Linked DNA regions of Arabidopsis thaliana. The gene in region 1 interacts genetically with each later gene. Each region holds a gene or a part of one and is shown on either strand. Other genes may lie near its edges. The genes, in order: LHY and TIC.

What was found.
Region 2: of LHY (region 1) and TIC, changing one enhances a phenotype caused by changing the other (phenotypic enhancement), as found in Arabidopsis thaliana (one study listed by BioGRID).

Annotation. Positions count from the first base shown.
Region 1 is NC_003070.9:32,739-39,933, forward strand, and holds LHY (Homeodomain-like superfamily protein), read right to left. Parts: upstream 5,020-7,195; 5' UTR 4,831-5,019; exon of another isoform or gene 4,661-4,830; 5' UTR 4,635-4,660; exon of another isoform or gene 4,466-4,634; 5' UTR 4,324-4,465; coding exon 4,285-4,323; intron 4,184-4,284; coding exon 4,072-4,183; intron 3,948-4,071; coding exon 3,886-3,947; intron 3,434-3,885; coding exon of another isoform or gene 3,352-3,433; intron 3,262-3,351; coding exon of another isoform or gene 3,226-3,261; coding exon 2,992-3,225; intron 2,910-2,991; coding exon 2,829-2,909; intron 2,737-2,828; coding exon 1,663-2,736; intron 1,590-1,662; coding exon 1,254-1,589; 3' UTR 1,243-1,253; exon of another isoform or gene 924-1,242; intron 852-923; 3' UTR 641-851; downstream 1-640. Other genes in the region: UMAMIT28 (nodulin MtN21 /EamA-like transporter family protein), read right to left, coding at 6,160-6,316, 6,398-6,549, 6,671-7,076. UniProt on the Arabidopsis thaliana protein: Transcription factor involved in the circadian clock. Binds to the promoter region of APRR1/TOC1 and TCP21/CHE to repress their transcription. Represses both CCA1 and itself.
Region 2 is NC_003074.8:7,911,122-7,919,259, forward strand, and holds the start of TIC (time for coffee), read left to right. Parts: upstream 1-1,783; 5' UTR 1,784-2,059; coding exon 2,060-2,159; intron 2,160-2,250; coding exon 2,251-2,790; intron 2,791-2,881; coding exon 2,882-3,081; intron 3,082-3,156; coding exon 3,157-3,451; intron 3,452-3,542; coding exon 3,543-3,846; intron 3,847-3,931; coding exon 3,932-3,971; intron 3,972-4,054; coding exon 4,055-4,150; intron 4,151-4,309; coding exon of another isoform or gene 4,310-4,312; coding exon 4,313-4,535; intron 4,536-4,640; coding exon 4,641-4,707; intron 4,708-4,801; coding exon 4,802-4,868; intron 4,869-4,950; coding exon 4,951-5,280; intron 5,281-5,367; coding exon 5,368-7,750; coding exon of another isoform or gene 7,751-7,758; exon of another isoform or gene 7,759-7,823; coding exon 7,824-7,846; 3' UTR 7,847-8,138. UniProt on the Arabidopsis thaliana protein: Regulator of normal clock function. Acts in the mid to late night. Contributes to the amplitude of circadian clocks. May act on the transcriptional induction of LATE ELONGATED HYPOCOTYL (LHY).

The DNA.
Region 1 (7,195 bases):
AGAGAGAGAATCAATCGAATCAAGAGTATTAAATGGAAAAAGCGAATCAAGACCCCACAAGGGAAAACAATCCTTAAAGCAGACTTGAGATCGATCATACCCAAATTATGGATTCATATATTGTTAACGTATCGATTACTGAAAAGATGTATACCAAATCTGTTCACTTTTTCTCTATAGACTCGATGGATGATTGAGATTTGAAGCAACAAAATACCCAGAAGATTAAACATGGAAAAGCATCAAACTTTGATGATCTTAGAACGATGACAAAAGAAAAAAAAACGTACCTTTGGATCGAAACGAAACAGCCGATTGTTGTTTTCTTTATCGCAAGGATGATGAAGAAACTTTGGGAGAGAAACAAGTGAAGCCCGTTGGTCTAGCAAGTGATTGTAAAATGTATATATGAGTCACCACCGAGATATACGGATCAAACTTTTATATTATCGTAACACTCACTACACTACCACTCAATTATTTACAAAGATTTACATCTTTTTAAAAATACTTTATTTTTTATTACGAAACATAGTTTGTGTTTTTGCGGTCACTCCTATAATCTATGTAGGATACTTGCATTACATTTTTCACAAATAATTTGGTTTGGTAGCAAGGATATGGCTCATTCAGTGAGAACAAAAAAATTGTATATCTACTCATTCATCAGTAAACCAAATTAAGAGATTGAAATATTGTATAAACTAGCTACACAATATAAGCCTTCTTTAGGCCTCTATTACTTAAGCTTGTAATAGGGAAAATGTTGTAATGTAGGCCCAAGTAGTGTGAGTAAAATCTTTAAGGCCCAGCCTAGCACCTTTGGGCATTTGGCGTTGGGCAACGAGCGCCTTCAAGTTTGAAACAAACAGAGAGAATCATTATGAAGAAACACCAAAAGACAAAACTTTCTAAGTTGTAACTTTTGTACAGTTCATCTTTTATCATTATAAACTATTTATGATCTCATCAATCAATATCCACAATTTTTAAAAAGAAGAATAAAGACAAATCCATTGCTTAATGGTTAATTAACAGTAGTAGCAGATGACATATAGACCACAAGTAGCATACACAAACAGAGACAAGAGACAAGACATGGGGTAATATGGTACAGAACCTGACATGACCAAAGAAATGTTCGGAAGGAAAATTAAAAGTCTCTTTCATAAAGATTGGAGAAGCAAACTACTAACACTAGATTTAAAGATATTGATAAAAATGTGGATGTTTTTTTTTTACCTCCAAGTCTGTCATGTAGAAGCTTCTCCTTCCAATCGAAGCCTTTTGCAGACTTTTTCATCACTTTGATTGTTTATGTTCCCAACTTGGCTCTCTTTCACTTCCATTGAACATCTCTTGTATGGCTTAAATCCTGTCTGTCTCGTTTTAAGACTCTTGCATGTTCCAACACCGATCATTACTACTCCTTCTTGGTCTGCAGCACAAGAATCCTGGCTTTTGAAATTAGGAGCCAATGGCATTGACGTGTCACTTTGTTTTCTATTCACATTCTCTGCCACTTGAGGAGGCGAAAAGCTTTGAGGCAATCTTTCTCTTGCAAAGAGAGCCTGAAACGCTATACGACCCTGAAAATATTTTGATAGTGTTAGTTCCCAGAAGAACTCTGCAATATCCATGAATCATTGGTTTTTGTTTTACCTCTTCGGAGACTTCCTTCCACGAATCAGTAGTTGCATTGTTGTTGCTGTTGTTGTCTCTCATTTTAATCTTACGGTTATTTAACTCAATAACATCTGGCTGATTCTCATCTGTCTCCTTCACATCCTCTTTATCTTTCTCCATTTTATCTAATGCATCAGTTTCTGCGTCACTCCCTGAAGGTGTATTTGAGCCACAGGATGAGCGGTCCACAAGATTTTTCTTCTGGGCAGTGTTTGAGTCATGCACAGCGGCAGTAACAACAACCTCCTCAATTTTATCATCATTGGTTTTTGAGTCGGCATTTAGCTTGGTTACTCCAGTCTCATCTGAATCATCAGATGATGAAGCTGGAGATTTCGAAGCCAAGTTTTGATCTTGCAGAGCTGTGTTTTGTTTCTCAAACGGTTGAGTATTTTCAACGGTATCCATTTCAGTCATTGCTGGAGTTGGAACTGCAACAGTTGAGAATGGAACACATGTTATTGGAGCTGGAGCGCATACAGGAAGAAGTCCATGAGAAGCCCACCAAGCAGTTGCAGCAGCTACTGTAGCAGCGGCAATGGCAGTTATACTTGGAGGAGAAGAGCTCATTGGGGTTGATGAATCACCAGAATTCCCGACACTCGCATAAGGCCAGACCGAAGCAGCGAATGTAGCTGCAGCATGAGCTGCAGGATTCTGTAGGAGAGTTGACATAATAAGATTGGAGAAAGTAGATGATATCTGGAGAAACGAACGGTAATCATCCTGTGAATGACAAGCTGGAAACGCTTGATGAGAAGCTGTAGTAGTAGCAGATGCTGTTGTAGCTTGAAGATTTGCGTGCCCGTGAGTTTCTTCTCTCATAGGATGAAACATGAAGTCTTGAGATACCATACCTGAGGGATGATTTTGAGGGCATTTTGCTATATTCCCGTTCACAATATCTGCGTGGAAATGCCAAGGGTAGTTTTGCATGCTGTGCACAGTAGTACCATCGTTACCATCTTTGTCTTTGTTCTTCTTGGGAACATCTTGAACCGCGTTGTCCACAGTTGAGGTCTTACTTGTTTCAATGTCGCCACTTACCTGCTAAAAATCAGAATGGAACAAATAATTTGTCATGCACTTGAAAGCATTCATCAGATTCTTCGACTACAATTTTGTAGCTTTCTTAGACTTACTTTCGTTGGTAAGGGATACTTGTTCACAGTAGAAACACCCGAGCAATTCTCATCTTGATTTTCTTTTCCAGTTGATGTTTTCTAACCAGAAAATAAAACATAAGAAGTCTATCACAAGACCACCAAAATGATAAAATGAAGAAGAGAAAGATCAGGAATAAACCTCAGAGAACGGCATTTTTTCCAAATCCAAGAACGCCTGATTCAACTGTGAAGAAGAGGCCGATGAAACAAGTTTTGCATCTTTTGCTGATGATACTTGAGAGGAAGATGTACCGTTGTTCCCAGGCTTTCGAGGATAAGGAGTATTGGGTTTTCGTTTAGGACGAGGAGGCGGAATTTCTATGTCCAAAGCTTGGCAAACAGGGATGCCTTTAACTTCAGCCTCTTTCTCCAACTGAAATGTGAACCAAAAACTGTGAGCTTTTCCAAACTGGAGATGGAAAAATGCAGCTCAGATGTGAAATCCTGAGATTCATGAAATTGACCACATCACCAAGGTTGAAAAAAGTCTTATACTGACCCGAATTTTTCGGGGTAGAGATGATAGAGTTACTTCATGTCCTGTCCTATAGGGCAAGGAGGTTTGGTTTCCATATGGATGGCTAAAAGAATTCATGCAATCCCATTATTTCATCGACTTTAGTGAATATGGGACAATTGTGTCATCCAAATGCAACGCTAGTTATGTTAATTTGGACCTATCTTATGGTCTCAGAGAAGAAAGCTCTCTGTAGAGTTTTTTCTAACAGTAAGTTTGGACAGACCAATCTAATGTTAAGTTTAGTTGAACAGAGTAAATGAAAAAGATAAAAAACGATCGAGATGCAATCCTCGGAACCAACCAACTCTACTTAGCAAAACACACTCTACTTAGACGCCTAATTTCTAGTTGAAGCAATTAGAGAAAAGGAAGAATAAGAAGAACCTTCTATCATCTTTTCCAGACAGTGACAGGCAACTTCTAAACATAGTCATAGATCGATATGAAAAAATGGTACCTTTACACAAGATAACGAAAGTGTTTTAAAAAGATCTGAAAGGATCATCAACTTACCTTTGTGAAGAACTTTTGTGCATGACTTCTGATCTGAACAGCAGTCTTTGTCCCAATATGTTCTGCACACAAAATGAAAAGAAAAGAAGGAATCTCCCAATCAAGAGGAGATAAAGACACTCCTAAACAAAGGAATATAAAATCTCAAAGAGTTCAAACTAAACATTCAAAAGATAAACTTTCGACCTTCAATTCGTTGCCAAGCTCTTCCATAAAGCCTCAAGGCTTCTAGAAACCTCTCATGCTCATCCTCAGTCCATCGCTCTCGCTGCTTTGTTATTGTATATGGCTTTCTTGCCTAAACATTTGAAAACCCAAAAGAAAATCAAATCTTCACACAACAACAGTCCAAATCTCTCAAACAAAAAAACACCAATCTTATTTCATTAGTAGTAGTACCTTAGCTAATAATTCTTCTCCAGATGTATTAGTATCCATAACAGGACCGGTGCAGCTATTCGCTGCTTCAAATCCTCTCTAACAAGTAAAGTATAAAAAAGAAACCATCTTTGATCTCCCCAAACATGAAAGTTTTCAAATTGCAAAGCCGTTGTGATAACCTCTTTAGATTCTAGAGAAACTGCAAAGGAGAAAGTACTTTATGAGAAATATTTATCCACAAACACTAAGATAAGAGTGATGAGCGAAATTCAAAAGAGAAATCTTTTCAAAGTCCACCGTGAAACAGTCGCTGCTTCTCCAGCAGAACTCAAAAGAATTCCCTTTATTATTATTCACAAAAGCCTCACCCAAACGAATCCACCGCAGCCAAAACCTTCACAAATCTTCATATCAGTAATCAATCACCAGATTCGTATCATTTATGCTAACTTTTAGAGCTAATAAGATTTAGTTAATCGCTTCTATAAGTTTCTCAGCAGCCAAACAGAGATCTTAGTATGTTATAGGAATCCTAGAAACTGCTCATAATGTAAACTGTTATACCCTTGAGAGTAGCCATGGAGGAGACAAGTATGCAATCTGACTTATCATCTCACCGGGAACTCCCCGGAGAAGTCATCGTTCCCGGAAATAATCAAATCGGAAGCAAAACAAAAAAAAATCTCTAAAAATAAATTTAAAAAACAGAGAGAAGAAGGAAGAAGATAACTGAAGAAGAAGAAGAAGAAGAAGAAGAAGAAGAAGAAGGAAGACTGTTTTAGGCTGAAGAAGACTGGAAGAAGAAGAAGAGAAGCCAGAAGCAATCTCAGCCACAACAATTTTTCCCCTAATTTTTGGAAAAATTTTAATTGAAAAGTTTATTTGAGGCTGGAACAGCACCAAGGGTATAAATGGAAAAAACAGAAGTCATCGCAGATCGACACGTGGTGATATTGTAGTGGCTGTCTACTGCACTTTTTGGTATATCTCAAGTTGCTTCTCTACGAGCCAGAAGCTTCAATGTGAAGCTCACGTAGGTAAAAGTGAGTGTGGTGGTCCACAATTGCTTACGTGTAAACGATTATTGGTACAAACTTGGACGACTAAACAAGTGGGTACGGTGCCAGCTGTGATGGTGTACTGCTACGTATTGGCTATGCTGGATCTGGGCTTGTAATAAGACATTGTATGGGCCTCACTTTTACGCCTATTCTATATAAATTTGCGTATTAACATAGTTGAATTAAACCCGACAAGCTTGGACTGCTCGGGGAACTTGCGTCTGTATAAAAATCTTCATCTTTTCATATAATATCATGCAATGCCTATACAAAATTTCAACAAATTATCATCGAGAACTTTGGTCAACTTGCTTATATAACATTTGTAGAAATTAAGGAACATTAATTACTCTTAAGTCTTAACCGAAGCATGTAGTATTTATTTATGGAATTCAGCAAACATCATTACACTCATTTTTTTAGATTCCAGCTTACAACTGTGTTTTGCTTAAAGCAGAAGCGTTTAACATAGTTATAGATACTCTAATGTTGGAGCAGAGCTTAGTTGCAATATTTTTTGAAGTTGACGGCCTCATCGGTCAGGAAGCCACTACAAAAGGTTACCGAGAACTTTGGTTAGTTCGGTTCGGTTCTAGGTTAACCAAAAAACAATAGACCAGTTTTTGTTACTAACCGAAGAACTGAACTACCCGAATCTAATTGAAATAACCGAAATTATTCCAAAATAACCAAACAAACCGGATTTAAATATTTCACAAATCTCTACGTTGATGTTTGGAATTATAAAATTTTATCTCTCATTACCTCTCCTTAAACATTAACTAGGACATAACAGTTATTTGAAACATACATTAACAACAATATAATTAAATTAAACGGGCGACTTAGAGTCGTTATCCTTATTAGGAGTAGTATATTGAGCTTCGTTATCCATTCCTGAAGACAATGCAGTTGATGATTCCGTTTCTTTGTTCTTCCCCCACAAGAACATGTAGAGACCCGTTATGGTCACTAGTGATCCAATCACACTGTAGACCAAAAGTTTTAATGTTGTAATTAGTGTTATGCCTAGACAAAATTAATTTGATAGAGATTATCGAAGAAGATACCTTCCAAGGTATAAAGGAGTGTGTAAAATGAGGAAATCAAATAGAGTAGCCGAAATGAGAGTAAGTGGGAAAAACGCCGATGCGAACACAGCTCCTAATTTTTTAATCCCCCATGTTGTTGCAACCGTCGTCATTGCTTGTCCTACCACTCCCTATAATATATGATAAAAAAAAACCACATAAAAAAACCCACATTAATATCTTAAGTTCTTACATACTAATCTTATAATTTTTAAAAAGTTAATTTATAAAGATATGATGTTTGTAACTTACAGCGTATATGATGACGGTGATAACGAATCTATCATCTATGATCCAATCATTAACGTCTCTGCTCTTGTAAAGGCTCAAGAGAGCACATTGAAATGCCGCGAAAATTGACATAAGACAAGTGCTCGAGTATTTGCAAGGGTACTTAATACTTAAAGTCCCTTGAAACAACATCCATAGAGATAGCAACACTGTTCCTATGGTTAAATAAAGACATCCAAGAAGCCAATTATTGGCCTTGTCTTGATCGTTGTTGTTGTGGGAAGCCCCACCGTGAGAGTGAGAGTGAGAGTTTGATATTTGTGGGCCTTTGTAAAATGTTAAGAACAAAGCTCCACTTATACAGATCAAAGTTCCAATCACCTTCAACATTCCTGCTTTGGTCTTTAGAATCTTCACATTTTCAGTCCTAAAAAAAGTAAAATTTTAATGATTATTTTGAAACAAGTTATTGAGAATATGAATCATAGTAGAAAGTATTTGTTTTTTTTCTTTCCTGGCGTTACAAAATAGAGTCGCTTTTTAATA
Region 2 (8,138 bases), on another chromosome or scaffold:
AAGATGATTTCCACAAAAGGAAAAAAAAAAAAAGGGAAAAGAGAGGTGAAAAAAATAAAAAATAATGTAAAAAGAGCGGTGAAAAAAGTAATAATTGAAAAGAAAGAAAAAAGATGATAAGAGCAATTCCACATTGGCAGCTAACTGTGGACCCCACACTTCTCGGAAGTTCCGTGACCGCGACTTGAGTGAATAAGGTCCCACATGCATTTCCCTCTCTTCCCATCTCAGCCGTTTAATCTTTTCTAAATCGAACGGTTCAGATCAACGGGTCGGGTGCCAACTCAACGCCTTTTTTAGTTTTTATTTTATTTTATGTTTTTTTTTTGGATGATGTTTTCTTCTGCCAAGTCAGATTGTTTAAAAACCAAAAATAGAAGAAAATAAAATACTAATATAATATAAAACGATCTAACGGTTGTGAGAGCATTTAGCTAATTGGCAACAAATGGTATTGGCCGTTGATTTGTAATTAATGAGTTAAATTATTTTAGACTATGGTAGGACCTGTTTCCTTACTTTATAGGTTTATTGTTTAGCTTACCTTCCCTAATAGAATTAAAAAAATCTAAAGGATATTATATGGTTTATTACTATTTTAGAAATATCCAAATATGACCAGATTTAATTAGTTTTATAGAAATTTATAGTTATGTCAATTTGACTAATCTAACCTAGGAATTATCAAGATTTAATTTCTCTTTTAGATTTTTTCATTATAAATTAAGAATGTTGATAAATTAGTAATTAAAAATGTGGTAGATACTTCCAATATTATTCTCCATATATTTTCATTTTTAATTATTAGATTCTAAGAATTTAAAAGATCAATTTTGCAAACCTGGCATATTTGAAAAGGTAAATTTAATTTAACAGCTTTTATTGCATGCACGTAAGAAATATCAAATAAATCAATAAGAAGGAAAGTAAATATTTGAATATTTATTTTCCATGAGTTGAAGAAAAAAAAATAGTTAGTGGCAAGTAAAAAACTATTTAGCCATTTGATCTTAATGGAGAAAAGTAAAAAAAAAAAAGATGAAGGTAGAGAAGTGGAACCTGATGTGATTAATATTACCGGTTGGATCGGTTTGTATAGGTGGTCACAAAGATTCCATTCTGATCGTAGATTGCCTTTACCAAGGTCTCTGTCTACCGGTAATAGCCGGTGATACATCTTCTCAAGACACATTTTGAATTTTAATAATTAAAATAACATCATATTTGTGCGTGTATATGTCAGTATTTTTGTTTTCTTTTCACACGAGTCATCGCGATTAGTGGACAACAGTACACTACCCCAGGAGCCTTTTTATTGCACAATATACTATTGATGATTATTTTTAGATTTAAATATTATTATCTTAATCTTTCCGACTTTCAATATATTTTATTGTTTTTTTATTTGTTTGTTTATTTCTAGACAGTGCAAAGTCAATAAAATATTGGTAGCGATAATATAGACGGAAGCGTGTGATGTCAAACTCTTGACACGTGGCAGCTTCTGTTTAATAACTGGTAACAGTCCAAAATAATTTTTTCACATGAATCCGACTCCGAAAATAATATTCTTTTAAAACCGAAAAATTAAATGTTATCAAATACTAAAATATCATAACAATAAGATATCATTTTTGAGTGGGTCCTACCTACGGATGCTGACTAATAAAATAATTAAAGAATACGTTTTTTAATTTAATAATAAAATAATAATCGGTGGTAAAATAATTAATAAAAGAAGAAATATCGGTTATTTATTATTATATGCGAGATCTCTTATAACGGAGGGCCAAGATTTTGTCACGCTGGTATATAGCGTATCGTGACCGTTGGATGTATTCACACCGACGGTGAAGATTGAGAAAATGTTTTACGGCAGGAGATATGAGCCGTGGATTTATTCGCTACTCTGCTTTTATGAGGAGCACAAATAAAGGAGATAATGGGAAGCAAGTAGAGAGATAGAGGAGAGAGAGTTTGATAAAGAGAGAGAAAAAGGGGTTGCGATTTGGGAGAAGAGAAATAGAGAGGAGAAGCATTAGAGAAGAAGAAGAAGAAGATGGATAGAAATAGAGAAGCTAGAAGAGTACCTATGGCGGCTGCCGGAAATGGTCTTTCCCGGCGGAGACATAGAGCCGGAAGTTTCAGAGATTCACCAGGTTTGTTTTTGAATCTCTTGATTTGGTTTGTTTTTCATCAGATCTGAGAGAAAACGTTTGGTTCTGATTTTTCTGAACGTTTTTTTCACAGAGGAGGAAGGTCCGGTGGAGTTACCGGAGGCGGCGAGGTTGAGAGATCGAGGAGGGAGTAATAAGAAGGATCGAGATCGGGAACGTGATAGAGACAGAGAGAGGGAAAGAGAAAGAGATAGGGAGAGAGATCGGTTAAATAGCCGGAGTAAACGGCGGAGAGGAGAACGCTTAATGATGGTTCACGGTAATCTAGACGACGGTGGCGACGATAGCTCGGAAGAGAGTGTCAACGACGATGAAGAATATGACGACGGAGGTGTAGGACCACCTTCTTCGTTGAAGATGCTTCCTCCGACGAGCAATAATATCTCAGCTGCATCGTTTTCATCGTCTCTATCAAATCATCACAACGGAGGTAGCGGTAATCTCCATCACCACCATCACAGCCACAACAATAACCATCAGAGGAAGAATAATTTTCCGCCGACGAAAGTTTTCAGATCGTCTCCTTCTCCGGCGCCGGTATCACCTCTTGTCTCGACGTGGAAAGCCGCCGACGAGATGATCGGTGTTTCGGTTCCTAGAAAAGCTCGGTCAGGTAGAGAGGTGGAAATTTACATTTGTAAACATATCTCTCGCTGATCTATCTCGATTCACAGTTCTTCTAATCTCTTCTTCGATTTTTGCAGCGTGTACGAAGAGACCTCATGAATCATGGGCGTCAAGTACTACCGGAGGTGGTGTTTTTGCTTCCGGTGAACAAATCCATCGGCAAATATCATCAACGTCTCCAGCTAATAGAGTTAGTCCGGCTTCGATTTTAGCATCTCCGTCTCCTCCTGCTCCTACGTCTCCTTCTTCATCAAGCATTTCCGTCAGGAAAAAATTGGTTAGTCTCTCAAAATTTACACTCAAATCTCTCCATCTCCATCTTCTTCTTTGACTAATATATTTTTGCTTCTAGCCGTCGGGGACGAAACAGAAGCCGTTACCGCCGAAGTCATCATCGAGTAAGTTATCATCGCCAGTGGCTGTACAAGACGAGATCGAGATCGAGATTGCAGAAGTGTTGTATGGTATGATGAGGATGCCTTCCACATCAAAACAAGAAGCAGCCGGTAACGATTTGACGGAGGCAGCGAAATCAACTGTAGAAGTCAAATCTCGAGTCTCTTCACCGATCTCAAATCCTCAGACTCTTCCTCAATCATCTATCACACTAGCTGCAAATTCTAGCTCCTCTAATGTTTCAGCCATCGGTAACATCCTCTCTCCATTCACAAATCGGAACGACTATTTTTGTTTTTTTTTTTCTTTTTTGCTCACTTTGTTTTACCATTTTCGCTTCAGCTCCTAAGAGAAAGAAGCCGAGACATGTCAAGTACGAAGACGATAACAGTTCACGCGTCACTACAATCAAATCCGAAGCCGAAGCTCCTTCAAAAAGTCAAGTTCCGTTCAGTAATCAACTAAAGAGCTCAGGATCCGGCGAAGGAAACAGCTCCGTATTGGATTCTATCATACCACTGACGAGAGAAAGCAACGCTTCGTTAGATTCGGAGAAAAAAGAGAACAATCTGTCAAAAGACGAAACAATATTGCCGAAAGTGGAATCTTCTTCAGGATTTAGATCCGATGGTGAAGGAGCTAAATCGTAAGCATTCAATCTATACATTCATTTTTTCTGGATTTTTTACCCAAGTTTTGGTACTGAATGTTTTTTGTTTTTAATCATGCAGGAGTTCGCCGGAAAAAGAGAAGTTTGAGATAGATCTGATGGTAAGTGTCAATAACATATATATTTTATTTTATTTTCCTTTTTTTTTGAAGTTCCGTACTAAATTAATTGTCCGTCGGTTCAGGCGCCACCGCCGGTGAGATCGTCGTCGGAGAGAGGCGGAGAGATGATGGAATGTGTGGCGGCAGAAGCTAAACCTAAAGTCACGGAAGTGGAAACGGTGAGTGGGGCCTACTTTTGTTTGGTAATATTGTGATAATTGGGGATATCCATCATTACTTTTTCATTTTTGCTTTTTTTGGCTCTCTTTTTCTTATCTTCATCTTTTTGGCTCCCTCTTTTTTTTAATTCTCTCCTGTGTCCACACTAATGCATGTAGCAGGAAGCAAAGCCTCTGCTTAAGGAAGATAGAAGTGATCCGGCGATTCATGATTCTCAGGAGAAGAAGAGACCTAGAATGGTTGCTGAAGCTGAACACCATAAGTTTGAGAGGAATTGTGAACTCAAACTCGACTTGGATAAATCTGATCATGTGGGTTTAGTAAACAAGCATCATGTTCAGAAACCGCCACCGCAACAGCAACTATCTGTTCCTGATAAAACTGGTAGGCCTTTTTCATCTTTCTTGAGATTCATTCTTCTTACTCTGACTGGACTAGTTTCGTTTTTTGTATACTGAATTAACTGGGCCTCTTTTTAAAAAATTCCAGCTCAAGCTAGCCATTTGCCTCTGCATATGTCTATGCCTGGCTGGCCTGGGGGCCTTCCTACAATGGGGTATGTTTTCTTTGTAATTTAAGCATGTGATACTTTTCCTAAGTCTCCTTTTTATTTTTTGGTTGTACTAATGTAAAACTCTGTGATTAAACAGATACATGGCACCTACACAAGGAGTTGTGCCTACGGATACCAGTTCCTTATCAGCTGCAGCAATGCAGGTAATTTTGATTGGATGTGCCATTCTAATATTTCTCTTTATATTTTTTTGCCTTTACTGATTTAAATTTTGGTCTTGTGCAGCCTCCACCTCATTTACTTTTTAATCAACCAAGGCCGAAGCGATGTGCTACACACTGCTACATTGCTCGGAATATTCAATCTCATCAGCAATTCACAAAGATGAATCCTTTCTGGCCTGCAGCAGCAGGCTCAGCTCCAATGTATGGGACCAAGGCCTGCAATCTCAGTCTTATGCCTCCCACAGAACTTCAGGGGAGTGTTTTGGGAAGAAGTTCCAACCCTGTTCAAGATAAGAATTCTCAATCTACGTCCAAAAGCTCAGAGACAGCTCAAAGAAATCAATTAATGCTTCAACAAGCTTTGCCTCCAGGAGCAGCTAATAGCATCTTGGTTAGTTTTTTTAGTCCATGTATCATGTTTCTCATCAGGTTTTGTCGTCCTTCTTATAAGCTGATTGTTTTTTTACTTTCATTGTAGCATGGTCCGACATTCATATTCCCCTTGGGCCAACAGCCTCACGCTGCCGCTACAATAGCTGCCGCATCTGTCAGACCTCCTAATAGTGGCATCACATCTTCTGGACCAACAGCTACTTCTACCTCCATGAATGGTTCTGCATCAGCTACTCCAGCTGGTGCCCCAACAATGAGCTTCAGTTATCCTGCCATGCCGGGAAATGAAACGCAGTACCTGGCCATTTTGCAGAATAACGGCTATCCATTTCCAGTTCCAGCACATGTTGGTGCACAACCTGCTTATAGAGGTGCTCCTGGGCAGCCGATGCCATTTTTTAATGGTTCATTCTATTCCTCCCAAATGATCCAGCCTCCACATCATCAGCCACAAAAGCAGCATCAGCAGCAGCTAACTGGTCAAATGCTCCAGAGCCATGCTCCTAACAACCAGAATGGGAGTGCTTCCACTGGTTCCTCAGCAGCTCAAAAGCATCTGCAGAACCAACAGTTGAGGCCACCGATTAATCATGGGAACTCTCAAGGATTTCCAACTCATAAAGTGCAATCGCAGCCTTTGAATTTTCAGCAGAGGCAGCAACCCAGAGAAAATGCTACTCAACATAGTGAGACTGTAGGGGAAGATAGCCCATCAACTGCTGATAGCCGGGGTTCTCGTTCCAATGTTGCCTATGGCCAGAACTATGGTATGCAAATGCAACCAACTAACTTGGGTTTGATGAGTTCCCCTGCCCCTGGTGGTGGGGTGGTTGGATCTTCGAGCAGTCATGGTGAAAAGAAATCACAGCAGCAGGTTTCAAAGGCTGGTGTAGAATCCTTCCAGTCACCGGGTTATGCTATGACTTTTGCGACGTTCAATGGGGCTAACACTGCTCCTACCCTAAACATGTCATCAATTGCTCAGAATCACGCTATGTTCCACAGCATGCCCGAAGCAGCAAGGCAAGGTTATCAGATGATGGCTGCTCAAGCAGCTCAACAAAAAATGAACTACGGTGCTTCACTAGAAGATGGAAAATCTGGGTCTATTGGTGGTGCTGCTACTGCTAATAATACCCCTGAGGAACAAAGGAAGTCAGGAGGAGGGGCAATAGGGAAAACGAGTGGTGGGAATGGTGGGCAGTCTATTGCTTTCTCTAACAAACAGGATTTAGCTGATGCATCTGTTTCTGCTGTCACGAGTGGTAGCATCGTTGATAGCTCATCCCGTTTACTCAACCTTGGTTCTGCTCTGCCACAGAGTTCGGGTTCTTTACCCACGTCTCATCATCAACAACTACTACAACAACAGCAGCAACAGCATATGCAACGGAGTCAATCGCAGCAACCTTATACCACCATGTACCTCCAGAAGCAGCAACGGTATGCAACTTCAGTGGCTGCTTCTGCTGCCAGAACCAAAGGGCCCGTGGTGAGTAACGGGAGTGGTTTCCCTGATCACAATATGACCACATCACCTGCGGGAACCACCAAGTTTGCAAATGCTAATTCAGGGTTCCCTCAAAACCTTGTCCAGTCGAGTAGCAATCAGGTTCAGTCTCAGCAGTGGAAAAACAATTCACCCAGGACAACAAATACTACCCAAGCTCAGTCTCCTTCGATGTTGTCGCCATCAACATCAGTTGCTGCTGCATCTTCGCTAAGAAACATCCCGCATAAACAGCAAAGCCGTCCCCAGCAATCGCAGATATCTTTTGCAGCAAACTCAAAACCAATGACTTCTGGTTCACCAATGCAGCAGGTACAAGGAGGAACCAACCACCAGGCTCCGTCTCCACCAATGTTAGTTGGGTCGCCTTCGACGTCGTCTGTCTCCAAAAATGCCAGCGGAAGCCCAAGAACAACTGCTTCTGCTTCCTCGGCGGCAAACAAAGGTGGACAAGCTTCCACAACTACTCACTCAGCATCTCAGCCGTCCAAGAACTTACAGCCTGCATCTGCGGCGTCATCTGCTGGTGGAAGGAATAATGGTCCTTCTGTTCTCGGAAACCCGACCACGAGCTCTGGATCCAAGTCGCAACAACAGCAGCAGTTGCCAAAGCATGGGCTGCAGCCGCAAGCACAGCTATTCTTCTCTAATCCTTATATGCAAGCTCAACATCAACATCAACAGCAACAGATCACCATATCTCCTTCTGGTGGGTATTACATCCAAAGACACCAGCAACAGTCAGGTTCAGCACCTGCTGTTCCAGTCACGGGAGCTGTCACCGCCACTTCAGATCCAGCGAAAGCCATAGCGGCTGCATCTGCAGCGAATAACATGAAAGGAGGTGGTGGTATGGGTAAAACTCAACAACATCAGCTTGGGCCTCCAGGGTTCACTAATGTTCACGCTGTTTCCTCTGCGGTTCAGGTCAAACCCGTGGATCAGAAGCAACAGGCGGGTGAGTGAAAGATCTTTAAAACTATTTTGTTTAGCATAAAAGACTCTGAATGGTTGGGAAGTTCCGGTTATAGCTTGTGCTGGCGAGACGAAATGACTTTAAAAGAGTCTGATGAAGAAAGAAGCAGACGGAACAGAACAACTAAAAAAAGGGATGACAATTTTTTTCGGAGTTGGGGGTGCTTTTTAAAAGCATTGTGTACAATTAGTGTTTATATTATTCTGACAGGAACCTACGGTGTCAATTCCAAAACTAAAACCCAAAAAAAAGAAAAGGAAGAAGCAAAAACCTCTTAGAAGTTCTCTAATTTAAAAAATTTATTCATTTTTCTTGGGGAGGTTTGAGTTTTTGTTTGGTGGTGATGTTAGGTAGGGAACCAAAAGAAAAT